4 linked regions of the Notamacropus eugenii genome follow. The protein of the gene in region 4 interacts with the protein of the main gene of each other region in a pairwise test. Links are inferred from orthologs where the notes say so. Each region holds a gene or a part of one and is shown on either strand. Other genes may lie near its edges.

Evidence for each region.
Region 1: the proteins of TRIP10 (region 4) and ARHGAP17 interact in binary tests that used the Homo sapiens proteins (3 or more experiments, as listed by UniProt). The link is inferred for Notamacropus eugenii from reciprocal best matches to the Homo sapiens genes TRIP10 and ARHGAP17.
Region 2: the proteins of TRIP10 (region 4) and ABL2 interact in binary tests that used the Homo sapiens proteins (3 or more experiments, as listed by UniProt). The link is inferred for Notamacropus eugenii from reciprocal best matches to the Homo sapiens genes TRIP10 and ABL2.
Region 3: the proteins of TRIP10 (region 4) and SH3BP1 interact in binary tests that used the Homo sapiens proteins (3 or more experiments, as listed by UniProt). The two-hybrid records come from large-scale screens. The link is inferred for Notamacropus eugenii from reciprocal best matches to the Homo sapiens genes TRIP10 and SH3BP1.

Annotation. Positions count from the first base shown.
Region 1 is NC_092872.1:60,714,653-60,722,292, reverse strand, and holds the start of ARHGAP17 (rho GTPase-activating protein 17), read right to left. Parts: upstream 3,013-7,640; 5' UTR 2,838-3,012; coding exon 2,785-2,837; intron 1-2,784. UniProt on the Homo sapiens protein: Rho GTPase-activating protein involved in the maintenance of tight junction by regulating the activity of CDC42, thereby playing a central role in apical polarity of epithelial cells.
Region 2 is NC_092873.1:466,391,532-466,399,292, reverse strand, and holds the start of ABL2 (tyrosine-protein kinase ABL2), read right to left. Parts: upstream 3,014-7,761; 5' UTR 908-3,013; coding exon 784-907; intron 1-783. UniProt on the Homo sapiens protein: Non-receptor tyrosine-protein kinase that plays an ABL1-overlapping role in key processes linked to cell growth and survival such as cytoskeleton remodeling in response to extracellular stimuli, cell motility and adhesion and receptor endocytosis.
Region 3 is NC_092874.1:294,919,058-294,926,953, forward strand, and holds the start of SH3BP1 (SH3 domain-binding protein 1), read left to right. Parts: upstream 1-4,880; 5' UTR 4,881-5,081; coding exon 5,082-5,143; intron 5,144-6,053; exon of another isoform or gene 6,054-7,544; intron 7,545-7,718; coding exon 7,719-7,761; intron 7,762-7,896. UniProt on the Homo sapiens protein: GTPase activating protein (GAP) which specifically converts GTP-bound Rho-type GTPases including RAC1 and CDC42 in their inactive GDP-bound form.
Region 4 is NC_092875.1:75,265,653-75,273,617, forward strand, and holds the start of TRIP10 (cdc42-interacting protein 4), read left to right. Parts: upstream 1-4,953; 5' UTR 4,954-4,968; coding exon 4,969-5,007; intron 5,008-5,938; exon of another isoform or gene 5,939-6,011; coding exon of another isoform or gene 6,012-6,035; intron 6,036-6,346; exon of another isoform or gene 6,347-7,093; intron 7,094-7,965. UniProt on the Homo sapiens protein: Required for translocation of GLUT4 to the plasma membrane in response to insulin signaling. Required to coordinate membrane tubulation with reorganization of the actin cytoskeleton during endocytosis.

The sequences.
Region 1 (7,640 bases), on a different chromosome or scaffold from region 4:
TTATGGGGGGAAGATGTTTCTACTCTGTGAGGAATGAATTTTTTACATTAAGAAAGAGGTGTCTTCATACTTAAAAAGCTGGTCCAATCCATTATTTTACAGAGTAACTGGGGCCCAATCAGGCGAGAGATTTGTCTGAATTCACAAAGTAAGTTGACATCAGGTCTTCACGGGATCACAGAATTTGGAGCTGGAAGGGCCTCAGATCATCCAGCTTAACTTCCTCATGCACACATGAGAAAACTTAGGGTCCAAGATGGAAAGTCATTCAATTAATTTCGAAACTGTAGTAAATAGAACTGTTTCTAAATCCACTGCTCTTTCCATCAGTGTTAACTTGAGAAAATAGTAAAATTCAGAATCAATTGATTTCAGAGCTGAATGAGATTAGCATCTAACCCAACCTCAATTTAAGGAGGGGAATTTCAGAGAAGTGAAGCAATTTGTCTAACATCATACAGTTAGATGATGACAGAGTTGGGGTGAGAACCTGTCCCCTAGCTTCCAGCCTAGCATCCTTTTTCCTGTATTGCAATACCAGTAATTCAGAAGAAAACAAATACAGCGAAAATTGTTAATTGAGTAAATAGGGTACCTGGATGCTCTATGTATCATTAGACAATCTGTTTTCATAATACTCAGCAAGGATAGACTTGAAAGTGATATAAATAATAAGTAAATCCTGTAGAAAATAAGTCAACAGAGCTTCTGAGGATGTTTTGCAAACCACCAAATTCTTAGACTACACTCAAAGTCACAGAATGATAGAAATGAAAGGGATCTCCCAACATACATTGTGGGTGTTAGAAAAGTCTTTAGAGACCATCGCTTTATATATACAAGGAAACTGAGGATCAGAATGGTGACGTGACATGTACCCTGCCTGAATTTTTTCCAGTAACACAGGAACGAACCAACATTCTTTAGAAGAAGGGGTTAACTCTGAAAATAAGATGGAAGCATACCAAGACAGCAGGGTGGAGCAACTGAAGAGTTTAACAACTAAGCTAAGCAAAAAAAGCTGAAGGAAATGAAACAGTGAAAATCAAATTAAAACAAAGAGGAAGTTTTTAAATAAATGTTAAATTCAGACAAAAGTCTATTATGTCTATCATGCAGCTAACCTAATTATCAATTTCATTTAACTGATAAAAAACAGTAGTTACAAAATAGGTAATTTGCCAGAATAAACAATATAATTATTATAAGCCAACTAGTATGGTGTAGTGGAAGGAATGGTGACTTGGAAGTTAAAGGCAACCTCAGTTTTAATCCTAGCTCTTACACTATCTGGCTTTGTGACCTTAAGCAAGTAATTTTCCTTTTACAAACCTCAGTTTCAGCGTCTGTAAAATTGGAGGTTAGACAAGTGGTTCTCTAAAGTCCTTTCCCATTCTGTGTATTCACACTGAATATTCACTCCAGCTCAAAGGGCAGTAAGACACTGTCATATCCAAGACACCTTGTACATAATTCCAAGAGTTAAAAAAAACCCCACAACCAAAACCCAACAGATAAGATTCCTGATCACAAAATCTCTGTCCTCTCCAAATGTTTATACACTAACTTAATAATTTACAGTATTCCCTGTTAATCATTCATTGCCACAACCACTAAAATAGTAAAAGGGCAAAAAGAGTTGAATCTGTCCAAATCTGACACTTAAAAAAAGTTTTCTGGATGATATATCTGATTCAGCAACTTTGAAAGTCAATAATCTGTTGCAGTCATATTCTAAAACATTCTCAGCCGATAGCTTCACGAAGATAGCTTCATGACCACGAAGCATGTCTGTGATTTTCCAAAATGCTATAAAATCCCTCCCTAAATTTAGAGGAAAAAAAATCTGAACTTTCTTTAATTTTAAAAAATAAACTTTGTACCACCAGGCACTATTAAGAAACAAGAAATTAATAGCGTCCTCCTAGGCACACAGTAGGAAGCTCAGAAAGTTAACTCCAAAACACTGTAAAGCTCAGTTGAATTTCTGTCTCGGGAGGAAAGTACAAGTCTCACCTTTCTGGGGGATGGCGTGGTTGGGTGGGGTACAAAACTCAAAGCAGCGAAATGACATCTCCAGAAAACTAAAAGGATGCATCCCTGGGAACCCGACTGTGTTGCTACTTTGTTAATTACTCCAACCGCCAAGTATCAACCGTGAAATTAACAAGAACCTGCCCCAAGAAAGGGACCAGAGCCGCTAGACCGTCAGGCCCTATCAGCTGGCAGCATCTTAGAGAAAGTTTCTGAAAATGTGAAAACTCTCCTCTTTCTCACTCTCCTCTAATGGATTTCAAGTTCATACCCACACCCCCCCCTCCCGCCAGTGCTGTCCTCCACCCACACTAAACTTCCTAGAAATTACACTGCTTTTCTCTCCTCGATGAGAAACAAAGGTAAGTCCAGCAGTCCCCCAAACCCCCACTTTTTTTTTTTTTTAAACCAGGCACATGAGCAGAGAAGGCTCGGAGACCGCGGTGCACGCGGGAAAGAAGGAGGGCCGGCTGACTGCCCGTGCGCCCGGGGCCGGGGAGGGTCGCTGCGGATGGACCATCTTAAGGAGCAGGGGAGTGGCGGGGGATGGGGGAGCCCGCCAGGCTCCCGCGCGCCGGGGGCGAAACCCTTCTGGGACCCGGCCTGGAGCTAGCTCGCGCCCACCGCCAGGTTCGAAGGGGAGGGCGGTGGCGGGTCAGCCCGCAGCAGGGGCTCGGGGAAACCAAGCCGGCCCAGGGCGGGGCAGTACGGGGCAATGGCCCGGGGTGGGGGGAAGGGGGGGTCACTCGCCTGCCCACGGTCTGGTTGGCCAGCTGCTTCATGCGGTTGAATTGCTTCTTCATGGTGGCGTCCGGTGGGGCCGGGGAGGCGGCGTGTCCTGGGTCAGGGGGTGCGGCGGGGCTCGCGGGCAGAGAAGTGGGGGTGCGGCCGAGCCCTGCCTGCTCCTACATAGTGTCCGGGCGGCAGCAACTTTCGCACTGAGCTCCCGGGACCAGCCGACGCCCCGGCCCCGCCCCCCGGCCAGCCCCGGCCGGGACCCAGACGCGTCACTTCCGGTCGGGCCGTCTCCGAGCTAGTCTGGGAGGCCTGCCCGGGAGCCGCCGACTGGGGCCGCCCGCCCCTCCCCCAGGCCCGGGGGCTGGGGCCGCCTCCTCCGCGGGCCCCAGGGCTGGGGTAGTTTCGTTTTCTCCTAAGGTGACATGCCGGGATAGTAACGGTTTAAAATTAGCCCTGGGAAGTTACAGCCCCTGACCTGCGAGCGCTTTTCCCCCTGGTGGACATTTAAACGTCTCCCTCCACACACTGGAAAAGAGCAGCCTTCACCCCTCATTACAAGTGGGGACAGTGGCACGGACTTCCGAGGAAAGCCCCTGCCCGGAGAGGCAGGGCCAGGATCGAGTCTGATGGAAGCAAATGGAGTTTGGACAAATTAATTCAGTTCAGTAAACATTTATGAAGCGCCTACTATGTGCCAGGTATTCAAAAAGAGGTAAAAGACAGTCCCCGCCCTCGCTGAGATGCTAGGAGGCTCCCACCTCAGGCTGATGGGACAGCCCTGGGTCAGATGGACCCTGTAACCCAATTTGTGTGGCATGCTGCTGTTCCGGTCATAAAAGGTGCTGTAATGCACCAGATTAGCAGTCAGCTGATGAAGGTTTCGGTCCCAGCTTCCTCCCCTTCCCTTACTTAGCCATATGACTTGGAGCAGGTTAGGCTCAGGGAGCCTCAGTTTCCTCAGAGGTTATTATAATTTCCGACCTGTCCATTTCTCAGGGTCATTATGAGGTTCAAATGAGATCATGGATCTCACAGTGCTTTAAAAAGTTGTTAAATGCTATACAGCTGGAATGGATGGTTATTTCCTATCAGTCTAGGAAGGCGATCAAGTCCCCCATTCCTGGAATTCTCTTCCTCTTTGTTTCAGCCTCCTTCCAGGCTCTCCTAATCTCTCCTTAGTTCTACTGCCTTTCTTCTCTTAATTATCTCCAATTCTTTGTTTCTTGTTTGTGCATAGTTGTTAGCATGTGGTCTCCCCCATTAGACTGAGACTTGAGAGCAGGGACTGTCTTTTGCAATTTTCTTTGTACCCCCAGAGGGCTAGCACAGTGTGTGTATGGCACATAGTAGGTGCTTAGGAAATGTGTGACTGACTGACTGACTACTTGAGAGCCATGTGGAGATGAGAAGTTGTAGGGAGGAAAAAGAAGTGAGGAATTTAAGAACAAAGGGAGGATGAAGGAAAAAAAAGAAAATGAATAGGTAAATCTCTGCCCTGCTTTACTTTATAAATGGAACTGCCAGCATTATTGGGAAAGCAAATTTGCTGGTTGAAGGAAGGAGCTGTTTAACAAGTTTATCTACCTCACTAGGCATCCTGAAGGGGAGTCATTATTGCTACAGAATAGTTTTTTGTTTTTGTTTTTTTTCCCCAGTGGCCCAGGCATAATTGGACTCTTAGGGCCCATCGTCTCCTTCCTCCAATCTAGGATCCAAGCCCTCTGGTGCTCTTTTAAAATATTATTTTGGAGAAAGAATGAGGGCATTGCTGAGTGTTAAGTTTAAGTCACAGGCTAAGCAAACATCTACAAAAACTGAAGTTAAATTATGAGTTAAATTGAGGAAAATCAGTAGCACTGAGTAAAAGCAAAGGGTTGACTCAAGTTGGGGTAATATGAAATTTGGAAGAAATGTCAAAGATGAAGAGTTAGTAGAAATAAGGGGTGCTGTTGAAAGGGGGAGCTCATGGCTTCTTTGGCATTTCTTTTTATTGGAGCAGGTTTTAAGATCAACAGCTATAAGGGCCTTTTAGTTTCAAAAAAAGAAAAGTTTTTGAAAGAAGAGTGTGGTGTCTAAGCTATATTAATAACATGCTTGTGAGTCAATAGTATAAAGTGGATTTTAGAAGTATCAGAGGGAAAAGATGAGGAAAAGGAGGTCTAGGGATCAACTCTGCCTACAGACCCACCCCAAGTCCAAGTTGGCCCTATGCATTCAAAGATTCCCTGTCAGTCTAACTCCCTGCACAGAATTAGAAAACCCGACATATTTAAACCAAACTGGATCATCAAGGGATTTTTCCTTGAGTGAATCAGAGCCAATTATAGTACTAGAGCAGAACCCTTAATCACATATGGTCACAAAATGGCCTATTTATTAAAAAAAGGAGCCCCTTCTTCCCTTTCCAGACTTGTTTCCCACAGCTCCCCTTTCACATTGCATCTCCACCAATTCAAATGACTTGCTGCTATGTTCAGTAAAGATCTGCCCATTTCCAATCCTCCCATCTCAGCCGTTGCATATTAAACAGAATGCCCTCCCTTCAATGAAGCCTTGCCTGATAATTTTCACTGGGGAAAGGGGAAGGGAGTAAATATTTATATAGCGCCTACTATATACCAGCCACTATGCTAAGCCCATTGGACATTATCTTTCCTTCCTCCAATCTCATGTAGCATTTTAAAAAATATTATGGCTACTTGACATTTATATAAGTATCAAAGTATAATCTATTACTAAATCCATGAGATCAGGGAATGTGTTTTATTTGTCTTTATATCACACCTATAATGCAATATAGTGCATTACAAAGAATAGTTGCTTAATCAGTGGTTGTTAAATAAATAAGAATACATTAGATTTCCATCTAAATTCAAAAAAGACCTTAGAAGACATCTAATTCCAGCCTTCCATCTCATAAATGAAGAAACTAGATAAAGTGGCATACCTAAGGTAGCAGGAAATGAGAGTCATGGTTTGAACTCATATCCTTTGCTCCAGATCCACCATTCTTTCCAGTACACTAATTAATCAGACTTACAAACTGAAAACATCCAATAAAAACTCCTTAGCATTGTCACATTCTGACCAACTTGTTCCATTTTATTTTTTAAAAAAACTGTGGACAAAATGAGACATAACTTTATATAATGCTGTGGAACATCAGGAAACAATGCCAGAAACCAGTGTAATCACATTGCAATCAGAGCTAGGATGGTTCTTTTTTGAGCAAGAGATTACAGTATAAGTTCAAGGGTCAGAGCTGCAAAACATTGCCAGGCTTTGAAAATTACAGGGGCCACATCGCAAAGCACGACTTTTTCATGGCTATTGACCCAAAAATCAGTTCACTGACTGAGTCCTACTCAGAGACAGAATGATATTGGAGTCAGATAACCGCTTTGAATCCTGTCTTCTGCTGCTTCCATCTGTATTCCAACCAAGTCACTTCATCTCTCTAGGTCTCAGTTTCCCCTTATCTGTAAAAGGAAGGAGTAGTACTATACAGAAAGGAGTTAGACTTTCAGCTCTTTATTATTATTTATATGGTGCCTACTATGTACTAGCCACTGTGCTAAACTCATTAAATTTTATCTTCCCTTCCTCCAGTCTCACATCATTTTTTAATATTATGGCCACTGGATCTATTTATATGTATCTTCATCTGTTTATGTTCATATTTATATATAAATATGTTTATATTTGTTAAGTACATCTATATTTAAATTATATTTAAATATATTTATGTTTATAGATGTGTCAGAGCATAGCACATTGCTAAATTGTCAGCTCTATGAGATCAGAGAATGTGTTTTATTTGTCTTTATATCTCACCTGGTTGTATAATATAGTGCATCATTTATTTATTTGTTTATTTATTATTGAACTCTTTCACGGTGTTGAGGAGAATGGGTTAAGGACTGAAATATAATAAAATAGAATAAAGGAAATATAATATAGTATAGTTAATAAAACATAGAAGATGACTAGGAAGTTTTTCTTCCCATTTGTCTGCTTGGTGCCAAAAGCAATATGATCTTTCAAGTTGCATTCAAACACTGAAATCAGGAACTTAAATATCTAATCACAGCTGTGCCACTGACTCACAGGAGCTTTGGTCAAGTCTTTTTACCTTTGAGAGTCTCTTTCAATATTAGGTGATGATATGAATTTACCTGACAGGAATCTCATGTAAAATGTGTTGCAAACATAGATGTTGCACTATAAACCTTAAACACCTATCACTATTACTACTCCTACTAATTAATTGTGTTTGCCTGAACACCCAAATGGCCTAAGAGTGATAAATATCCAAGAGAAGATGTAATTTAAGGTTGGCTAATACTTGAAGGTGATACATCGGATGACAATGATAAGTTATTATTAATAATAATGATACCATGCATCTGAAAAGCCCTTTACAATCTACAAAATGCTTTTACATATACCATCTAACTTGGCATAAAGACAATTTTAAAAGCTCAGCTTTCCATATTTACTAGAATTTACCCTTAAATAAAAGAGCTGGCTATTTGTGAAATGAGCTCTACGATGAAGGGATGACAACATTGTGCAAACTGTGGTCAGAGAATGACACGTGATAATAAGCATTTAATCTATTGCCATGTTAGGATTGTGACTGCTAGTAATATTCAATACCTGGTTAGCAATGTGAAATTCTAAGAAGAGTGGTTCTTGATTTTCTAGGTTTCCTTAATGTCTTCTATAATTGTTACATTCTTCTTAAAAATGCCAAGGACTTATAGTTTCCTTGATATGGATTCTCCTAACTTTCACAAATCATAGCCATTTATAACTTTTATTAAATAGTCTTCCAAGGCTGCTGTGATTTTATGGTCAGGCTGAGA
Region 2 (7,761 bases), on a different chromosome or scaffold from region 4:
TAGCAAAGCTAAACTCAACTATCATGACTCCCATTTCTATACTCCTTCATATAATTAGTTTCTTGAATTCTTCAGTAACCAAGGTAAGTAATGTAAGTCACTTTAAACCACATATACATTTTACTTTTTAGGAAAACGATTAATAGTGACTTTTCCTTTTCTGCATCCTCAATCAAAATGTGTTGAGAATTATTCAAAAATTTTCAGTTTCAAAATGTCTTATTCAAATATATCAGCTATATTTCTTTAATGAATTTACATTTGAGTCACAAATACTTAGGATGTTGTAGAGAGCAGTAAATGAGCAAGTAACCCAAGTGCTAGTCACAATTATTAATAGCTAAAACTCAAAGTCTAAGGATAAATAAAATGTCTCACCCTGAATACAATACACCAAGAGAATGCAAGTGGAAAGAGTTATAGTAGCAGTCAATGTCCTTAGGTCAATTTGCATGTTCATCCTTTGAGGTATTTTTTTAAGATCTCAGGCTTAAGAAAATAAAAGCCTTGACAGAAAATAACTCCAACAAATCAACAAAAACTTTAGGAATCAACTGTGTTCTCCATAAGGCGTGGATGTTTAGACCAATTATGCTTGCTGTGTTTCTAATGCTAGCTCTTGGCTGTTGTTTTAGTTTTAGAAAAAATGTTTACTCAATGCTTCTTTGCGGTCACAAAATGCTAAAGACAAAATTAACCTTCATTCATTCCAGTTTGCTGGATCTGACATATTGAAAGAGCAAGTTATCAGAACTACATTTGTATATACTGTTTTTGCTTGACCTTGACACACAAAGTAGAAGGTTTCTAAACTCCTCCTTCCTGGAAAGCAAACCAGGAACACAAGTGGCCTGGTCCTGCTGAGCTTTGTGTTCTGCTGGATCAAAAGCCAATATACTGGCATCATTCACTATGGAGGCGGCTGCAGCACCACAGCAGACTCAGCACTATTTCAGCAAGAACTGTAAGAAGAATCAAGTCAGAAGAGTCTCAAATTGAGATTTTTAAAATTCTAAATCTGGCAAAGCATTACATTTGAGAGCGTATTCTCTATGCTTTTATTTAGATGACCAACCCAATATAACAGAATAAAGGTTTGTTCTAATTAGCTCATTATTGGCAATTAACATTCACAGACTGCAAAGATTCAGTGACCAATAAACCAAGGGTTACCACAAGAATCATCAACATTTCACATACAAACATAGAAAGTTAATTTAACAGCAATCAGGAACTCAAAAGATTGTCTCTTTACCTGCAGAGTTAACATGCTCATTGAAATCTGATTAGCAGAAACCATAGAGTAACATTTGTGTATTAAACATAAATCACAAATAACAAATGTATACAAACTACACAAACAAATAACATATGCAATTCCTCTTGGCATAAACGTTAAAGAAAGTTCACAACTTCTGTAACGTTACAATAAAAACTCCTATAAAGTTACCTATTTCACAAACAAACAAAAAGATCACCTACAGTTTCAGGTGATACTAAAAACTACTTGAAAAGTTCTAAGACAAACTTTTTAAAGTACATCAGTTTTTACCTCTATCACCATTATTTTAAAATGTTACCAAACAATATCCTCAAAGGAAAACCCAACCCAACTAATGAGCCCTTTCACCCCTAGTGACATGGGCAGTGGAAGACAGATAAACATTTGAATACTTGGTAATATTTTTATATATTAACCGCTATTGTTTATCACTTTGTATAAAGATGTCTTTGCAATTAAGGTTGTGATAAAAAACATTCAAATTTCAATTTCAAAAACTATCAAAGCTACATTGGATATTTTAAAAAAGCAAACACTCATTCAACAAACATTTATAGACTCTCTGGTATGTGCCAAGGACAATGCTAGCTAGGTGCTTTTGGGGAACACAGGGATCTGTATAAGCTAGGGCTCCTACCTCTGGGAGTTTGCAATCTATAAAGGAAAGAAGATAGTGCAGAAATAACCATACAATCAGTGCACTGATAGGAATAACTGTATCAGAATGCAGATTTCTAAAGTGCTTCCACTGACAAAACAAGACAAGCTTTATTTTACATTGTTACAACACTACAATCAAAAAAATTTTACCCCCAGTTTTCTAAGGAGGCATGGATTAGTTCAATGATTTCAATATAGTAAGTAAGGTTACATTAAGCCTTTATTAAAGGTTCTAAATGGTATTCCTCAAATAATAATAAGGAGTAAAGTGTGACTCACCAATGAAAATGAAACTACTTAAATGTTTTTCAATAAAGAATACTTAGATATAACACACTAATTAGTTAAATTTCTAAATGAAGATTCAGCTAATAACCATTGCTCTCCTGGTCCAAGGACAATGCCTATGATGCCAAGGTTCAATCTTCTGACAGAAAGAATGGATTCCCCCGGACTATGATAATGGGCTCAAGAAGTACATCTGAGTAGCAGTATCATCTTTATATACAAAGATACTGGAAATATGGAATGCAACAGTCACATACCCCAAATCCTCATATTTAACACCATATTGATTTTGAAAAATTTCTGTGCTAGTAAGGGTCAGCTCTAGGCTCTGGAAGAAACTGATGATCAAGGATCCCAAGTACCTCTTCCCTCTACAACTACTCTCACCTAGGCCTCCAAGGGTGTTGATTCGTCTACTAACAGAACTCCTGCGTCATCTTCCCCAAAAGATTTATGAGACCATCCCATGAAGGAGATCCTAATATACTTTAGTCCCACTCCCCAGTCACTTACAAAAAAAAAAAAAAAGACAATCTAGTTTGCCTTTGGAGGCAACAGAAGAAACCTGGGTATAAATTCAGGAGTTTCTCTAAGGACGGACCCTCTCCTTCTCCCTAACCCCCACCCACCTCTGTACTCATAAACTCCCCACTTGCCTACTCATGGCCAAAATGTCTTAAAAGAAAAAGCCTTTCAGTCTACAATTATAGATAAAAGGTCACAAATACCAAAGGAGATAACATATTTACAAAAATCATTCTACTTACTTTAGTGGTCATCAGTTTACCATAAATTAAACATAAATAATAACAGATTTCCCCAGTTTTGATAGGTAATGAAGGAAAGCATCAGGACTTTGAAGAACGCTTGCTCTATCATGGTGTGGATAAAGGATACAAGAAGAGAAACCTGGAAAAGCAGAAGATGAACACAATTTTGTCTAGTCAGACCTATTTACGTCCAATATAAATACAAGTTGTGTATTTGTATACAATACAATGTATACAATACAAATACACTGCAGTATTGTCATATAATATGGGGCAGCTAGATGACCCAGTGGATAGAATGCTGTGTCTGGAGTCAGGAAGATTCTTCCTGAGTTCGAATTTGGCTTCAGACACTCACTATCTGCATAACCCTGGGCAAGTGACTTAATCCTGTCTGCCTCAGTTCCTCATCTGTAAAATGAGCTGGAGAAGGTAATGGAAAACCACTCTAGTATCTCTTCCAAGAAAACTCCAAATGGCATCACAGAAGATCAGATATGACTGAAAAACAATTTAACGTCATATAGTTAGAAATGCAGACAAATCTTATGCATGACTTACAAAGTTTGTTGTTTTTAAGTAAAGAAACCCAGCTGACTTCATACAGATAAGTTTAGCTCTCTGGAGATTTATTCCTTGAGGAATATAATGACATAGGTCATTATATTCTCAAATGTTACATAGCACTATAGAAAACAGCTCATTACATAAGTGAAACTACCTGAAAATACTGTTTCATTTGTATTGGGAACAATGTGGCACAGTGCATAGAATACCAGACTTGGAGATAGGAAAATCAAGATTTGAGTCCTGCCCCTAACCTATACTGGTTATGTGAGTTTAAATAATCACTTTCTCAGTCTCAGTTTCCTCATCTATAAAATGGGAATAATGATAGTACTCACCCACCAGAGTTGTTCTGAAAATCATCAAATTAAATAAAGAAGATAAAATACTACCCCACAGATTTGGACACAAAACTCAAGGTCTTAAAATGCCATTGATAACCAAAAATCTGAAAAGTCATGTGGTATTCTTACCTCTTGAATACCAACAATGATTCACAACATATGATGCTCACAGAAGGGACTGACAGGGCAAGTGGCAAGTAACCAAGTAAAGTTTCAGTTGTAGCGATACCACCACCTAGCTGTATAAATTTTGTTAGAGATTGGACTAGATGAAGTCCAAGATATGTTCTAATTCTAAAATCCTACAATCTTGTTATTGTTCTAGTATTCCTAAGTATTATCTAGAGCACATGAAAAGAATTAACATTTTGGATGAAAGACTAAAATCAGGAAGTATATTCGACTACTTTCAATCCCTGCAATTCATCCACCAATGCAGATCATTACCCACGGTGACATCTCAGATGATGGTAAAAACTTGCTGTGTTTAATAAGAGGTACTACCCTGTTGCCAATCTAATATAATCTAATATAATAAGCCTATGCAAACTTAGCTAAAATGGAAAGGAGATACACAATCTATTATACATCCCATATTCCAAGACTTTCCAAATTGGCAGCATCTGCCAGACCTTAATTTCTACTGCTATAACCTTCAAGAACCCAGAGAATGCCAAGTCACAATGAAGTAGAGGATTTTAATGTTAAGGAATCTACCGTAACAATGTATATAGTGTGTGAAACAAAGTAAAGAAACACAAAACGGTAATTGGCTGTCATTATCATTGCCATACACTGTCCATTTTTCCTGGTTATTTCTGGTTAATTCAACAGACTAAGAGCTAACTACCACCTCTGATGTGCTGTCTACCCATCTGTGTGTGTATATGCGTGTACACACATGCACATAGATGTATGTGTATATATGTATGAGTGCACACATATGTACATATAATATTATATATAAATTTTACATACATCCAAGTATACTGGAGTAGTACAAGTAACTTGGAGTAGTCAGAGAAAGTAGTACTTTAGTCAGTCTTTGAAGGAGATGAAAAGGGAAGACATTTTAGATAAGGGGAACTGTGTGTGTCACAGGATGAATGTAGTGTTTGTGGGACAATGAGAAGTATCTAACTATGGTAAAGAGTTTGGGTGTTACTGAAGAATGCAGATGATTAAGATTGCTATCTGAAGTTAGAACAATAGCTATATAAATGATAGGTATCTAGATTTCTTTCAATATAGTTCTAACTCTAAATAGCAGTTCATGTATCAGTTATAGTTTGAGAATTTTTTATTGTAGATTCCAGGTCTATAAAGTTAATGTCAACTATTATTTCACTATTTTTCCTAAAGCATAATAAGAAAGTACTGCAGATTAATTCAGAATTAACATGAAATGTTCAATTTTCTAAATAAGGGCTCTTTATTTTCTTCCATATCTGTCTACTCTTTTTGAGTTATCAATTGAGTATCACAATATTTCTCTTCCCTTTAGAAAGGGGTAACAACTGTAAAGCACTTAGAACAGCACCTGGTACACAGCAGGTGCTTAATAGATGCTTGTTCCTTTCCCCCCCTTCCTCCTAAGGATCAACTTGCAACTTCTAGGATAGTTAGTATCTCTCTATTCTCAAATGTTACATAGCACTATAGAAAATAGCTCTCATGCACCTATCACAGTCCATTTTCTGTTATAGTTATTTGTGAATGTCTTATCTCCCCTACTGGATTATAAAATCCTTGAAAACAGAAATGTCTTTTATATATATATATACATATATATGTATATATATATATATACACATATATGTGTGTGTGTGTATATATATATATATATATATATATATATATATATATATATATATATATATATATAGTATCTTATATATTGTATTGTATCTTTGTACAAAACCCTTAGGGTTGAATGTCATGCCTCCCTCAAAACAGGTGCTCAGTAATATGATTGTTAAACCACTTGGATTTGAAAATGGCAACACTATTCTCCTAGTCACTCAGACTTGAAACTTTACAATCAGGTTTGACTGATTCTTATTTTCATTTTCTACAGGCAATTACCAAATCCCTACTAGTCTTCCTTGAGACATCTTTCATACTCCTTCCCTTCCATTTCACTGTCACCAAGTCAGGCCAATGCTAGTCATTTCATGCTTAGATTACTGCAACAACCCTCTATAGCTGACCTCATCAACTCATCTCCCCCAATTCCAATCCATTCTGTATAGCATTGTCAGAATAAGCTTTCTTACATTACTTTATGATCAACAAGATTTTTGCCCTCTCAATAAAGTTGTGAGGAAGGAGCTTTGTAAACTGTCAAGTACTATATAACTGTGAGCTGCTATTTTAATTGTGAGAGCATTCCAACCTTTCTAAGCTAACTTGCACTGAATAAATTATGCTATAGGATCCTATATATCTATACCCTGTGAAAACTGTCATTCAGAAAAAAAAATCTGAGACAATCATTTGAATGTGTAACCTTCCTTTCCTCTGTCACAAATTCTAAGAGAACATTTATTGCCATTGCATCAACTATCACCTTCTTCAGACCCTGGGGGGACTTTGTGCTCAAAAGATCTAGTAAACAGCTGTGCCCCCCATTTCACACTCCCTGCTTCTAACCTAGCTCTTGCAGCCATCACCCAGGGAATTAATCTGTATAGAACGGTAACCCGGAAATTACTTCTGCAGGTTCTGCAGCAACCAGAGCTAGAGACAACTCAGAAAAGATAATTCTCAAAGTCCTTAGAACTGTCAAAACAGCTCAACCTCACAGTTTCATCAATGGAAATGATATTAAGGAAAAATGTATGACCATCTACTTCACTGCTGAACCCTAAAGATCACAGGACCTTTCCAACTTACTCCTATACATGCTGTCTCCCCCTACCATAATGTGGACTCCTTGAGTGTATCCAAGGCATTAACTTTATATGTCTTCACCTGTGGTAAGAACTTACTAAGTGCATTTTAACTCATTCAACATCATGCCAGTCCTCTCCTCCAAAATTTTCAAATGTTCTTTGCTACCAAATCAACTCTAAGCTAGCTTTGAAGGCCTTGTATGGTTGCACCCTACCACCTCACCATCCACATTCTCCAGTAACACTCAAAACAAAATCTTCACCCTCAGTGTCCCACAAACACTACATCCATCCTCTAAGTCTTTACTCTCATCTAAAATGCCTTCTTCCCTTTTCCCTCCTCCTTTCCACCATCTTCAAAGCCCAACTAAGGTCCCACCTTCTGTATCTCTCTTCTCAACACTGATCTTAAATTATTCTATAACTGTTTCACATGTGTTGTTCTTATCTCCCCAGCTAGACTGAAAATTTCTTAAGGGGAAAGAACATGTCTTTAGGTTAGATCTATTTCTCAATCAACAATTATTCATTGAGTACTAACATGTGCTACATACTACATAAACAAATACAGTATACAATGTAAATGGGAAATAACATGGGCACCAGTAATTGGGGAAAGAGAACAAATGACAAGGAAAGGCTTCCCTGGGGGACAGCACTTGAGCTAAATGTTAAAGGGAGTTGCTTAGGGATTCAAGGCAGAGGCAATGAAGAAGTACATTAGAGGCATGAGGAATTGTCTGCAAAAGCTAATAAAATGTCTCGAACAAGGTATATGTAGCCAATAAGCCCTTTTAGTTAAGACTATAGAGTGTGAAGGAGAATAATGTGTAAGAAGTCAGTAAAGACAGACTGGGGAGAGATGAAGAGATTTAAATGCCAGAGATTATATTTTGTCCTAGAGGAACTAGGGAGCCATGGGATCTTGTTGAAGAGGGTAGTGACATGGTCTAACC
Region 3 (7,896 bases), on a different chromosome or scaffold from region 4:
CTAAAAGAGGAACCTGGGACACAGTTTTTGTGAGGAGGCAGTATGGAAAGATGGCCTGGGGGTCAAATTGTGGCTCAGCCACCTATTCCCTGGGCAAGTCATTTCTCTCTCAGTCTCAGTTTCTTCTTGTATAAAATAAAGGGGTTGGACTAGATAGCCAATAAGGTACCTTCCAGTCTAGAGTTAAGACCTTATAACCTAAGGCTTCTAGGCTGTTTCATCTGGAAGCATCTCCTGAGGTTGCCTAGTCTGAACCCAGTGAGGTAGACTCACTTTACAGATAAATAAACTGAGGTTCAGAAAGGTCAAAGTAGCTTGGCATAATGGAAAGAGGAGGTTTGGAGTTTTGATTCTGCCACTGATGAACTCTATGGCCTTGGGTGTCTTATAATCTCTCTGAGTTTCTGTTTTTTCATCTGTGAAATGGGGGCAGTAATCCTCCTGAGTAAAGGACTTGGTAAATCTTTAAAAGGTGTAGAAACACAAGTTTTTATTCTTTTGCCCAACATTATATCCAGATCATAAGCAGCAGGACTGGGAGCCCAGATAGTCTAATTTCAAGTCCAGCAGGTTTGATTTTCTAAATCATACTTTGTTGACTCTTTATACAAGCATGAGCCAGGCACAGAAGATATGAAAAGGAATGCTATCCCACAGTCTATGTTCTGCTTGAGTATGCTGCTTCCCTTGGGTCATATGATATGATCTGGGGGTGAAAAAGCAGGGCCAGAACCCAGGAATTCTGAACTCCCTTCTCCAGTCTAAACAGTCTATACTAGACCAGGATTTCACTGTCTGAAGTCACTCTTGGGTCCTGGTACTGTGGGATTTCTTCCAGGAAGCCACATCATGATGTGGAGATGACCCTGGGTTCATAGATGATATTACATGTACTGAAGTACCTACTATGTGCTGGGGAATACAAGGACTGCTCAAAGACCTTCCATTTGCTTGGAAAGGCTACCAGCCACCAGTAGATGATGGACCATGTCTGTCAGCCAAGGATTGACTGAGTCATCTGTTTCACCTTCATCTTCCCCCATCTCGGATTCCCCATCTGCCTCCTAGTTCTAAATCCTATGGTCCTAAACCCATGGTCACGGAGTGAGGAATATTGTACCCACAGAAGCTCTCGGAAGCCAGTTGCCAAATCACCAAGGCCTCTGTTAAAACCACCCCCACCCCCACAAAATCAGAGGTGCTTGAAGTAAACCATGAGGCTTAGAGCTAAAAGGGACCAAAGAGCTTATCTAGTCCAGAGCTCTTAACCCAGGGCCAGTGAACTTAAAAACATGACAACTCTCTCAATATAGTTGCTTTCCTTTGTAATCTGGTGTATCTTATTGTGTATTTAAAAACAAGATTTTAGGATGGGCTCCACAGGCTGACTGCCGAAGGGGTCCAGACTACCAGATAGACATGAAGAACTCCTTCATTCATTCAGTCCCTGCATTTTACTGAAGACAAAACAGCAGCCCAGAGAGGAGAAAAGGCCCTCTTGTCCAAGATCCCACAGCCAGGGAAGGAACACTCAGAATTCAAACCCAGATCCTTGACTCGAAATCCCAGACTCTCACCCCAAGCAAGTGCCCGGAAGCACGAGTTTCTAACTGTTAGAACTAAAGCAGCAGTGAGGTGATTTCAGCCTCCTGGGGAAGTTAGCTGGGACCCGCCCTTTCTTCCTTTCAGAAAGGCTTCCACTCTCCACTTTTCAGTGGGGGAGGGGAAACCTCGCAGCCCGTAGGCTTCTTGCCTGTCCCCCCGCCTGAGCTTTTGATCCTCCAGCAGGAGCTCCCTTGGCCTCTGGCTCTGTTTTCATACCCCTTGGAGATCTTTGGGGCTGGCAGGAAGTAGTTAGTCTGTGACAGTCTTCTAATCAGCATCTGAGGCCTCCCCACTGGGGATCCTGCATTTCCACTGGGGAAAGACCTGGGGTTGGAGGGACCACAGTTCAATACTCTGTTATTATTTGCGGGGTGATTTGGGGCAGCTGTCTTACTCTGGGTTTCACTTGCTTCATTTAACATAAAGGGGTTGAACTAAATGTTTATAATTCATGGAAGGGATCTCCAAGGTCAAATACTCCATCCCTTTCATTTTACAAATGGAGAAACTGAGCCCCATAGAGGCAAAGGTGACTTATCCACTGTCAAAGAATCATAAAATGAGAAGTTAGAAGGGACCTCAGAAGGCATCTGGTACAACCTCTTCATTTTACAGAAAAAGAAACTGAGGCCTAGGGAAGTTGGACGTTTTGAGCAGGGTCCCACAGTAGTAAGAACAGGGGATTGAAGCCAGGCTTTCTGAGCGTGGGCCCAGGACACCCTTTCCCCTGCGATATCTCTCTCCCTAAGGCCTCCACCCCTTCCAGTTCTAAATATAAGACCCCATGATCCTTCCTCTGATCTGGGAAGTAAGGAGAAAAGGAAAAGAGAGAAGAACCAGAGAAGGAAGAATCAGGATTCTGTGATCAAATAGATGAATATCAGGCTCTCTGGCCACACTGAGCAGCTCGACTAGTGGGGGGTGGAGACTCAGGCTTGTTCCCCACTAATTCGCTGTGTGCCTTTGAGAAAGGTGCTAAGTGCCCCTCACCAAATTTTTCTAGAGTCTAGACCTTTGTTTTCCCATCTAGAAAATTAAGGATTGCATTGTGGTATTGTTAACCAGATCTGGATTGGCGGTGGTTGGGTCGGATCCTGGGCAAGTCTCTGCTCATCTTTGGGCCTCAGTTTCCTCATCAGCAGAATGAGGGAATTGGGCCACATGACCAGTGAGGTGCCCTGCAGCTGTGACATGTTACCTATCTCCTGGAAAGTTAATGAGGTATTAAGGGGAAGGAGCACTGGCCAGAGCTCCATGAGCTAAAGGAATGGTAGAGTCTAGATGAGGTTTGGGGGTAGGGTGAGAGGAATCTATAGCTCCCACTTCCCTCCCCAAGGGGCCCTGGTGGGAAGTCCCCTGGGGTCAGTAGCATATTACATTGAGGCCCACTTCCTCTTCCTGGTGCTTGGTGCACACCCCATGCTGCCGGTGCACACCCCGTGCTGCCGTTACTCTCCCTTCGAGGTCCCAGCAGTCCCAGCAGAAGATGGGAAGAGGGGGGCACTGTGGCTGTGTGAGACATGAAACATCTTTAGGAAGGAAAGCCCAGCTCTTCAAAAAACTCAGTATCCCTGAACTTCTGTGAGGTCCAGGATATGCCCATTTGACAGATGAGACTGAGGCTCAGAGGAGGGAAAAGACTTGATAAGAATCTGGCAGTCAGGTGTAGAACCTGGTCTCCTGGTCCCATCCTCTTTCTTTCTTTTTCTCCTTTTTAAGGTAATCTTAGTTTTAGATGCCTTACAAATTTCTTGAGTAGCCACTTAAGGTTTTATATTTGCAAATCTTCTGAGATATATATGTAATTCTCCCTATTTTATAAATGAAGAAACTGAAGTGCAGTCATAGGAGTTCAGATCTAGAGTTGGAAGGAATCTTAGAGGTCATTAAATCTTATCCCCTTATTTTACAGATAAGGAAACTGAGGTCACAAAAGCAATAAGTGGCAGAAGTAGGATTGTGAAACCCATGACCTTTGACTCCAACAAAGCTCCCTCTGTCCAGGGTCACAGGTGCACTGTATGTATGTAGCCCATCTAGTCAGGGCCAGAGTAGAGTCTACTCTGAAGATTGTGACAGAGAAGCTGTGAATTTCAGCTCTGATATCTGTTTGTCCTTCACTGCCATCAGAGAAATGATGACATGACTTGCATTTGACTTTTGTTTTGAGTGAGGGAGGGCTGCGCAGGTCACCAGCCTCACTTCTCCTCCAGAGCCATCTGAATCCAGTGACCAGATATTCATCAGGATGACTGGGGATGACTCAGGATGAGAAAATTGGGTTTAAGTGACTTGCTCAAGGTCACACAGCTAGTGAGTGTCAAGTGACTGTGGTGAGATCTGAACTCTGATACTATCAGTGAGACTGAAGCCTGGGTCCCTCCTGTTCCGATTTCTCCTTTTATCACAGTTAATAACATGTAGTCAATGCATGTTGAATCTAATGGGATCAGGCCAAAGAAAGCAGATGGGACTCACCCTGATCCTCTGGTTCCAAGTCAAATTGTCCCCTCATAATTTTTATCTGTCCCCCAGAGTTGCTTCCAGTGTAAGTGGGGATGGAGATAAGGAATAGGAAATGCTGAAAACACAAACTGGGAAAAATAGAAGGTGGAGGTTAGCCCACCGATTAGAATGTGTGTTGGGGAAGGGACAGCATCGTCCAGACAAGATCCCATGAATGGAGGGATTCTGGTCATTGAATTTGAACTGGAGAGGGCTTAGACATTATTTAGATTGAAGCCCCTTCATTTTTGCAGATGAGGAAACTGAGGCTCAGAGAGGGGCAAAGACTTGCCCAAGGTCACACAGCAAGTCTGCCTCGGTAGAGCTGGATTTAAACCTACGGACTCCATCTGTAAATCCAGCGCGCTCTCTGTCACCCAAGAGAGTTCCAGGTCCCAGGAGCCGCCCGAACAGGCCCTAAGCCGAGGGAGTGAATGGGGGTGGGGGGAGCACCGTGCCCGGGTCAGAAGCAGGCCCGGGCCCCGTGCGGGCTTGCCCCCTCGTTTCCCCCTTTCAGGTGCGGCCCAGGAGTTCTTTCTGTCCGCCGCAGGTGGGGACAGGCACAACTAGGGGGCACTCGAAGGCGGGACGGGGGAAGTCAGCCAGACTGGAGTACAGGCAGACGGACAGACTGACAGAGCGAAAGACGGAGGAGTGGGGGTGGAGGCACAGTTAGCGGAGGAGGGTGGTGACCTGGGTTGGGGGAGGAGAGAGGGAGAGGAGAGGCCGGACCAGGGGGAGGGGGAAGAGGAGGAGGAGGAGGAGGAGGAGGAGGAGAGAGAGACAGAGGCTCCGCCAGGAAGAGAAAAATTGCCTCCCTCCCTGCCTTGGACCGGCCGTCAGTCCCTCCGTCCGCCCGTCCGTCTGCCGGGGCACAGCTTAGCGTGCGGCTCGAAGACTCCTATGAGCAGCTCGGGGGGCACCCCGGTCTCTCCAGCCCTCCCGCCAGCTGGCCACCCCAGCCCTCGAAGATGATGAAGAGGCAGCTTAATCGGATGCGGCTGCAGCTGTCCCAGACTGGGGGCTCGGGACGGTGAGCGTGGCTCTGAGCTGGCAGCGGTGGTGGGAGACGCGCGATGTGTGTGTGTGTGTGTGTGTGTGTGTGTGTGTGTGTGTGTGTGTGTGTGTGTGTGTGTGTGTTGGGGGGGGCAGAATTAGGGTTGAGACCACCAGTTGCCTCAGTGGCAGCCAACACCACCCCAAACCCCAACCCTGGGTTACAACCTGTTCCCTTTGCTTTCTCTTTCAACACCTCTTCCCCCCCCCCCCCCCCCCCCAAAAGAGGGCCTCTGGGAAGGGAAGTCTCGTGAGGTAAGGCCCCGACTCGGTGTAACCCAGAGCCGCCCCTCTCCCCGCCTCCCCACTCCTTCCCAACCGAACGAGAGGTTTGGAGTCCTCAGCCCATCCCCCCCAAGATGTTACAGAAGGGGGTCCGGCTTGGTTAGGAACAGGAGTAATCTCCACCCATGGAGGAGGGGACTAGGAGGGACTTTAGAATTTAGGAGTCAGAGTTAGGAGGGGCCTTAGAACAGAGAATGTCCCAGCAGCATGGGGCCTCCCAACTCACATTGTAAGAGCTGGGAGGGCTCTTAGAAAAAGGAACTTCAGAGCTGGGAGCCTTAGAACCTGGAAAGGCAGAGTTGGGAGAATCCTTAAAAAAGAGATGTCAGAACTGAGAGGTCCCTTAGAATCTGGAATGTCAGAACTGGGAGGAATCTTAGAACGGTTCACTTCAGAGCTTGCAGAGTTCTTAGAACAGAGGAAGTTAGTGTTTAGAGCTGAGTTTAGATCTAGTTTAATCCCTTCATTTACAGCTGAGGAAATTAGAAACTGTTCCCTAACCTCCCCTTGCCCGCCTCCTTTCAGGTTTCTGTAGTTCAGAGTTTTAGAGGTGGGGGTGGGGCTAGCCCTGAGCTGATGGAGGGGAGGGTCAGGGACAGGATAGCTAGCTTCTCACTCTGCCTGGGACTCTGGGCTAGTTTCTCCCATCCACCTCCCCCAACCCCAGTTTGGACCACTTAAAGAACTGAAGGTTTTAGGACTCTCCCTGGAAAGGAGCAAGCAGATAATGGGACTCTGAGACCCCAGGAGACAGGGGGGAAGAGGAGAGTCTGGCCGGACCCTGGCTCCTTGGAGACAATGACCCCTGGGGGACTTCTTAGAGGGGAAGAAAGCCTTCCAAGAGCTTTTATTCCCATATGCCTTTGTTTTTCCTGTCTCCAACCCCCTTCTCCCCCCCAGGATGTCAGTCCTCTGAATTCTGCTTTGCTTTTCCCAGGGTCAGGTAAAAATCCAGTCCCATTCTCAGGGCTAAGTTTCTAAACATCTGCTTTACAAAAACCAAAACCAGATGGCCTTGCCCTGACTCCCTCCCCATCCCCTCATGGGACCTAGAGTTCTCTTATGTTGTGTGTGGTGGTGGTGGTGCTGGAATAACTCACTGGGAGCCAGGATACCTGAGTTGTAATCCTGTCTTTGCTACTTACTGCTTATGATACCTTGGATAAGTCATTTCTCTGGACCTGTTTCCTCATCCTTCAGATAAGGGGGTTGGGCTCAGTGGACTCTGCAGTTCTGTGACTTCAGTGTGCGTTATGGGCTGTGCTGGAGAAGCTGGGGGTGAGGGAGAAGTGAGGAGAAAAGAATCTGCATTTCAATCTGAGACGGAGTTTAGAGGCCATCTAAGCTAAGCCCCATATTTTTGTTTTTGTTTTTTTTTTACAAAGAAGGAAACTGAGACTTAGAGGGGAAGTGATTTCAGATCGTAGCTTTAGTACTGTAAGAGATTCCAGAGACCATTTAACCCAATCCATGAATTTTACAGAGGGGGACACTGAGGTGCTTTAAGATTATAGGAGCATAGAAGTGGAGTTGCAGGGGACCTCAGAGGCCATTTTATCGATGAGGCAATTGAGGGCAGATTGGCCCAGAGCACTGAGACAACATTCAAACTCAACTTCTTTTTAGTGTTTTCTTCTATCCCCGAAGCGAAGCTATCCTCCCTCCCCCCACTTCCTTCCAGACTTTACTCCAGCTGTTCCCTATCATGGCAGCCCTTACAGGTTTGCTCTGGGGGCCCCTGAGAAGCCCTTCCTGCTGCCCTGCCCTGAGTTCCCAGGTGCAGCTCTGGGTGGAGAAGGAAGCAGCCCGACTTTGGATTCCCCACTGCTTTGGAATGTGCTCTGGCTGGAGGGGTGTGGGGAAGAATGAGTGAGAGACAGCGATCGGGAGGGACTGGCAGAATCCTTTCTGAATGGACAGATCAGCTAGGGTTCCTGTCCTCTCCACTCTCTTCTCAATCCCCTTTCAGCTCTTAGTTGGTCACCCTGAAGTGCCCCCCCACCCCAGTCCAGACTTGGCAACGGGATCATAGATTTGGAATTCCCAGGGGTCTCAGAGGACAACTACTTTGACTGCTCATTTACAGACAACAGGTACAGAGAGATGGCCAGTGACTTGTCCCGAGTCACACAGCTTTCAAGGCTACATCTTCCTTATTCCAAGTCCCCTACATCATGATATCTGTCAGGGAGTTCTGGGGAAGCAGGAAAGCAGGTGGAGTAGAGGTCTCCAAATTCTCCCCTCACCCAGTCTCTCTGTCCCCACAGTGTCCAAGAGACTGCTGAATTTCTGAGCGAGGACTTGCTTCAGGTATGGATATGGGCTCAAATGAAGTGAGGAGAGGCAGGCCTGTACAGGAGAGCAGAGAGGCAGAGGGAGGTAGCCAAATGGGTGGGATGAGTCACCAGAACCTCCTGGACTGGATTTCTTTTCGAAGGAAGATGT
Region 4 (7,965 bases):
TTCCCCTAACCATATGATTACATACCTGTAACTCTCCAACCAAAGCACTGCCACTCTTCTGCCTGTGTTGTCTCCAATTAGAATTTAAGCTCTTAATGGTGTGTATATTCATGGGAGAGTGTGTCCCAGGTCTGGGCAGCTAGTCTCTGGCAAAATGGCTAGAGCACTGGGCTTGGAGTCAGAGAAACTCATCTTTTTGAGTTCAAATCTGGCCTCAGACACTTACTAGCTGTGTGACCCGGGACAAGTCACTTAACCTTATTTGCCTCTGTTTCCTCATCTGTAAAATGAAGTGGAGAAGGAAATAGCAAAACACTCCAGTATCTTTGCCAAGAAAACCCTAAAATGGGGTCACAAAGTATCAAAAACAACCCAACAACAAAACAAATGTCCTTGAACAATAGGTGAAATATTCTACTGCTATTTTTTTTTTACCATATTCATTCTTTGAATGCCTTTTACCCTCCACTAATTGTGTTCACTAGCTGACTAGTAAAAGTAAACACAATAATGAGGATTTGTGAGCTATAGTTCTGACTAGTATGGATTCTCAGAATACCTTTTAACTTTTCTAAATGGACCTATTTGCAAGATGGTGGGTGTCCCAAGTACCATAATATACAAAATCACATTTATATATTATTGAAAAGTTTCCAAAGTATTAGACATACACCATTTCATTTAACAGGAGTGGGGAGGCACCCTAGGGACTGATCATCCACCCTCATCCCAGAGGGAGCAAAGTGAAGCAGAATCAGATGACATAATGTGCCGGTAGCCACCTTTCCAAACCTTCAGTCCCTCAGTTCTCATTCCATTAGCACTTCAGAAACTCAGAGGAGAGAGAGAGTGATGTGGTCCAGAGCTACACAGAGTCAGAGGAACTCAGTTCAAATCTTGCCTCTGATGCTTGTTACTTGTGTAACCTTAGGCAAGTTTAATTTTCCTAGACCTCAGTTTCCTTGTATGTAAATTGAGGATGTCGGAGATGGCTTTGGAAGTCCGTTCTGGTGCTGAAGCTCTGACCCCGAGGTATCCTCCGGTTTGTTGTTAGATGTGAAGACTTTTCCTCAGTGTCCATCCTTTTGGACCTCCTCATAGCCTTGGATATGGTTGACCACCCCTTCCTCCTCAGCATTTTCTCCTCTCCTGACTTTCATGACACAATTCTTTCTTCATTTTCTTCTCCTTCTCCTTTGCTGTACCATTATCCATGGCCTTAGCCCTAACCATAAGTACTACCTCCATTCTCTGTCCTGAGCTGCCTTCTCTTTTCTCACTGTCTGCTCTTGTTAATCTAATTAACTCCCAGAGGTTCAATGGTCATTTCTGAGCTGCCGATTTACAAGGCTTCTGTCTGCCAATGACTGTTCCTTTGGTTTGTTCAGGGCCCAAAAACCCCTCGATACCTCCTGCCCTTCTGAATCCTCAACCCTTTCACTCTGTTTTTTCATTCCCCTCAGCCCATTCTCCCCCATCTCCCACAAATCTCATGTCCCTTCAAACCATTCAGTATATAAAGTCAGTACCTCTGGACTCCCTCCCCCAGCCTTTCCTCTCTCAGCCCTAGCAACTCATGCCACATTCTTTGGTCCTGCCATCACCTCATCTTTCTTAGCCCCTTAATTCAGTTATATTCAGCAAACATCAGGCATCTACCCTGTGCAGCACACTATATTATGTGCTGGGTCTATGAAGATGACATGGAAAAAGTCCCTGCCTTTCAGGATGTCACATCCTATTGGGAAGATACAGTGTGGATACAGAGAAATAAATACAGTATAGACAATACGTAGTGGGTAGGTGCACCCACCATAGGTAAGGGGTTTTAAATACCTTGCTCAATTTGACAATTGATGACCTTTGTTCCTTGTTGCTCCCCAATCCCATGCTTCTGCTCCAGCTGCAGTGCTTTTTCCAGATGAAAGGGAAAACAGTTAGAAAAACAGCATTTACATGTAAAATGATACAAAGTCAATTCAGGAGGCAGAGAGTACTAAATAACCAAGTGACTAGCCCAGGTTCAAGGTACTCTGTGAATCTGAACTCCTAAAGCTATGGTGCATGATGTGTTTACCTTCAGAAGTCAGTCCAAGGATACAATTAGCTCACAGCAAAACAAAATAGCAGACTTAAGAAAAGCAGAAACATGTCTCCTCCGTAAATTTGGGGTATACTCTGCCACCAGGCCACCCAGCAGGATCAGGAATATTATATGCACAGAGCATGCTGGAGTGTGGTGACAAACCTGGAAGGAACTACAGCTGCAGGGTACCCTGTCCATCACTTGTCTCCTTGTCCTGCTCCATCTCTGCTGGGCCCCTTGGGACTTCTGTGGGATTGGCTGCATGGTACTGAGGCAAGGCAAGCCTCTAAAATCTTCAGTTTTGGTATCCATTGACATCCAGGCCTAGGGTACTCTCAGAAAGAGTTGGAGTCCACCATTGAGGACCAGCATGAGTCTTGGTTCAGGGGCCTACTCCCTCACAATCAAGATCCTTACTTTAGTTCCTTTCAAATAACTCAACAACTCCACTTCACACCATAGCTGTCCCTTGCTATCAGCCCTCCCTCACTCAAAACAAAATCAAGTGCAAGTCATGTCATCATTTCTCTGATGTCATGGTCTTCTTTGAAAGCGAAGGACAAATGCAACCCCTTCTATGATGTACTTTGTCTGCAAGGGACCACTGCCAATGAGAGGTGGGGAAGGATGAGAAATAAATTCTATCTCCCCATTTGTTGCAGGAAGGAAGGAAGGGAAGGACAGAGAAAAGGAGAGAAGGAACAAAGAAGGGAAAGAACGAAACAAGTATTTATTAAGTGCCTACCATGGGCCAGGCACTGTGCTAAACTCCACAAAATATCTCATTTGATCCTCAAAATAATTCTGAGAGGTAGGCGCTTTTATCATTTCCATTTTATAGTTGAGGCCAATAGAGGTTAAGTGACTTGCCCAGGATCAAATAGGTAGTGTCTGAGGTGACATTTGAATTCCGGTTTTTCTGACTCCAGGCCTAGCGTTTATATCTTGTGATTTTACCATGTGGATCAGTGAGACACAATTGAGCAGGATTATCCTGATCAACTCCTTTCCCCCAAGTGCTTTAAGGATATCAGTTTTGTAATTATTAGAACAATGAATTAGAGATGGGTGAGACTGAAAAGAGAGAGATCAATTAGAAGGCTAGTCCAGGAGAAAGGAAATGAGGGCCTTGAAGTGGATGGCATAGAGATATTGATGTAAAGATGTTATGAAGACAAAATCTGTTTAAAAGAAATTTATTTATAATTCATTTGTTTTCTTTCCAGTTTTGAATTCTCTCCCTTCCCCCCATTAAGAAAGCAAGAAAAACAAAATCCATTGCATCCACACATGTGTAGTTAAGCAAAGCAAATCCCTGCATTAGGCATGAGGGAGGTAGAATCTTAAAAAAATGACAGCTTCCCCAGCTCCCTGGACCAGAAACCATGTCCTGGAACACAACCCTTTTAGCTCAGGTCCCTGAGACCCTGATTGGTGAGGTCCTGGCTGTGGCCCACTAAATCATGCCAGCTCCACTCCCCCACCATTTTCTCACCAGCTGCCTCCAAACCCCTGCCCCTCTAACTCTGGGACTGTAATCAGATCAACACTGCTATTGGAAAGAATGAGTCAATCTACCTCCCTGGGATGGTGAGGGTCAGAATTAGGAGACAAGTTAAGTGAGTGAAGATAAAGGAGACAGATGCAGAGATGGAGGGAGACTCTGGACGAGGGTTCACCTCCCTCTGGTTCTTGAAACCTGTAACATCCTTATAACTATCCAAACCAAAATCCCCTTCCCTGGTTTCCCCTTAAGTGGTTATTTCCCTTTACTAGAATGTGAGCTCTTTGAGAGAAGGGACTATTTCCCTTTTGGTTTCCTATCCCCAGAATTGAGCATAGTGCTTGGCACAAAGTAAGTGTGAAAGAAAGGTTCACCTTATACCTATCAGTTACTTAAGAAATGTTCGTTAGTTGACTGGTTGGTATTTCATTCATTTATTCCCTAGGTGCACTTAGTACCTATGTGCCTGGCACATAATAGGTGCGTAATAAATGTGTAGTGGATTTATTGGATCCCAGAATGATGGAAATGCCAGGATGACTTGAGTTCAAGTTTCTCTTCCGACACATGAAACTATGTAATCTTGGACAAGTCTCTTAATCTTTTCCTGGTTTGTGCAGCTCTGGACTCTGATTTGCAGAGAAGGAGATGACTCAAATTGGCGGAGATAATTTCCACATTTCACTAGTTCCCTTTACTAATAAAACCACAGGCCTAGTCTCTATCCCCTATCATTTCCTGGAAGGGGGAAACTGAGGAAAAGAAGCAAATGAGAGAGTAGAGGGAGTAGTGCTCTGTTTCTGTCTTTTCAGGAGCAGGACTTACTGCTCCTGGGATATGTACAAGGTTAAGGTGATAGGAAGAACCTACAGAGGTAGTATTATAGATTAGGTTGTTTTAGCTTCCAGATGAGGACACCGGCCCCATTTAGGCATGGTGCAAGTTTCCTGCCTCCCAAATGACCAGTAGGTGGGGCACGTGTCCCAGTGGTGACTGAACCTCAAGGCTCCCAGGTCTGCCCTTCGAAATTTTGGGGTGTGGGCTCCCCAGAGTGCAGACACCCCCCCCAACCTGTCTCTCCCCACTCCCCAGGATCTGTAAACACTTAACTTTTTTAAAGGAACAACAACTGATAGGGTCTTGGGCGTAGTCTGAGGGAAGGGATGATTTTGGCTCCATCTAGGACCCCAAAGTGGCTGGGAACCAGGGAGACCTGGACCCCAGCCCAGGCAGCGCTAAAGACTACAGACAAAGTAAAGCCAGTCCAAGCAATAGGACGAGGGAGAAGGAAGAAAGGGGCAGGTTGGGACCTTTCGCCCCATCCTTCTCTTTTTATCCCAGCGCCTCAAAGAGTTTTACAAGGTGGGAACTGACTTTTATGGGCTCTGAGGTAGAGGTCTCCAGGCCTGGGACGGAGGTGAGAGTAACTTCCCAGTCCCTCAGGGCAGGGTGTCTGGGGTGGGGGCGGGGGAGGGGGCTGGGGCCGATCCAGGTGGAAGTGAATCAGGTGGTAATTAGGCCTGTCTGAATCCCAGGAAATGGAATGGAGTTAAACGGAGTTGAGCAAGGCGGGACGAGAGAGCTGCTAAGGCAGTGGGGCTGGGGACCGCTCCACCAGCCAAGGTCGATCTGTCTCTACATTTCTGATGCAGAGGAGCTGGGGGCCTTGGGGTTTGGGCAAACCGGGCCAGGAAGCAGAGGGTTTTTTTTGGGGAGGGGGGGTGGCTAATGGAGCTGACCGCAAGGTGGCCTTGGAAGAGGTCAGGCTGGGGTAGGATCGAAGCGGCTCGGTTCCCCCCTTCCCTCACCTCCCCCCGCTCCCGCTCCCCCGCCTCCCACCGCACACCCTCTTGTCCTTGTGGCCGGAGACCATTAGTGGCGACAAGGTAGCTGTCTGGAAACTGGCCCTGTACTCAAAATAACCGAGTGACCTCAGCCTCCTGTCTCCTCTTCTGTGTGGTCTGGTCTGGGGAGCAGGGGAGGGGAATCTGGCCATGTCCCTTTAAGGGGGGAAGGAATTTGGCAACGGGTTGGCTTCTTGGGGAAGCAGAAAAAGCGTCTCGTCCCTTTAAGAGATTGGGGGGAGGGAGAGAGCGGGAATGAGGGGGTGGGAGGTCCCAGGAAATCAGTTGGAGCTGGATAATGAATGGGTTAAGTGGCTGGAGGTAGCTCCGGGGCTTTAGAAAGAGTCCTAGGTCTTTAAAAGGGGGTGGGGTGGATGCCCCTCCCCTCCCACTCGCGGCCCCACCTCTCCCCGACTTTCCATTCCGAGGTTCGGTGGCGCTGGGGAGGTAGAAGGCGTGGCTAGTTTGAGGGGGCGGGGCTATGCCGGGCCAGGGGCGGGGCCTGGAAGCGGAGGGCGGGGCCGGGCCCGGCCGCGCTGGGCTGGGGCAGTGTCTCGGGGCTGGCGGCGGGAGCAGCATGGATTGGGGCTCGGAGCTGTGGGTGAGTCTGCTCCTGGCCCCCCCCCCCCCGCTTCTTCCATCGGCACCCCCCGCAGTCTCCTCGGGGCCCCCTTCCAGTTTTCTCCTTTGCCCCTGTCCCGGTTCAGTTCTGGCCCCCTCCTCTCCTGTTCCCCCTCCGGGTTAGTTCTCTCGCCGGCCCCCTCTCCCAACTCTCTCCCCGGCCCCCTGGCATTTCTCCTCCATTTCTTTCCCATTCCCCACCACGTTCTCTCCTAGTTCCCCCCAGTTCCCTCTCCGTTTCCCCCGCGTCTATTCCGGTGCCCCCCGCTCAGTTCTCTCCCCCTAGCTCAGCCCTCGGGCAGCTCTCTACACTTGGATTTCAGCTTCTCTTCTCGTCCCCCTCTCCGTCTCTCAGTCCCCCGCTTCCCAATGTTGTCCCAGTTCCTCTTCTCCTCTTGCTTTCTCCTCTCGCCTCCCGGTTCCTTGCCCAGACCCTCTTGCAAGGTCTCTGCTGCCCCTCCCCGGGTGCTTCTTTCCCTGTCCTCTCCTAGTCCTTCTAAGCCCCTACTTTTCTCAGTTACCTCTTTCTTTCTCCTGTTCCCTCTCCCGTCCCAGTATGCTTCTCCTCTTGTCTTCCTTCCTATCCCTCCCCAGTTTCTCCCACTTGCCTTCTTCCCCACTGGAATTCGAGTCCTGCCTTTTGTCACCGGCCTCGCCGCCCTTTTGAACTATAGGGTTGGAAGGGTGGCAGAGAGAGCTAGGGCCAAGGAACTCTTTCCCCTTTCCCTTGTACTGACCTAGCTGACCTCAACCAGTTATTTATGCCGCATTTCTAAAGCGCCCTTTGCCAGTGGGACCCTGACCCTCTTGTCCCACCCACACAGGATCCTAATATCTAAGAGGGCGTATATTCCTGGGTCTGTGCGTGGAGGCTGGACTCTGGAGTCCTATAGGGATCCCTCTCCTTCCCATACTCTTCATAGCCCTGAGGAGGCCAGGCCTGGCTAGACTTGGTGGAGGGGGACTAATGGTCCTGGAGAACCAGAGGATTTTCCAGTGGTTGGGACAGACCACTCAGCAGCTGACCCTTGATTTTTGGTGGGTAGAGTTGGGGGGACTTGTCAGTAGTGACCCCTCCCTTGGCTTGAGCTACTGTGTTTACATCCCTTGCTCTCCTCCCCCTCCCACCCCCCCAACAGGAAGTGGATTTCCTTCCCAGCCTAATGCCTGGGCCAGGGATCCCAGCCCTCCCCCCACCCCACCCCCAAAAGGCCCAGTCCTTAGGCTGCCTGGGTCCCTTCCCCTGGCTGGGCCTCAGGCCCTCCTCTCCCCTGTTTTGTTTTCCTTACCCCTGGCCCTCTGGCCCTCTTGTCTCTCTCCCTCTCCCTGGCAAACCAGTTTGTCCTCGATGGATGTCTCATAGTTTGGCTCCGATCAGCCTGGACCTCTGGGAGGGCTTCTAATCTCAGGGTGGAAGGAAGATTCCTCTCCACCCCTCCAACCCCTAGCTCTTACTCTGGCTCTCCCCCTGCTCTCCTTGACTCTCTGGCTTTGGGAACTCCTGGGATAGATAGTGTGATAGATTGGAGGAATGGAAATGGGGAGGGGGGACACTGACTTCATGGACTCTTGGCCTCAGGGCTCAGTCAGGCGCTCTGACCAGCAGCAAGTGGTCCCAGTTGCTGAGGCCTTCCCTTGGAGAAACACATGATTTTTGGTGGGTCTTGACCCTTCATGGTCTCAGTTTCTCCACCCTCACTTTTGGGCCTGGGCTAGATAGGAGGAGGATGAGCTGAGGCCTAGGCTGTACTGGGGGCTCTGGAACTAGGGTCATTCCCTAGGAATTAAGTTGTCTTGCCAGATGAAAGGCTCGTGTGTGTGGAAAGCTGGAATAGGTCACCTATTTTGAGCTCCCTGACCAGGTCAGACCCCTTCTTATCTTACTGGGTCTCTGGGTCTTTGCCCAGGGG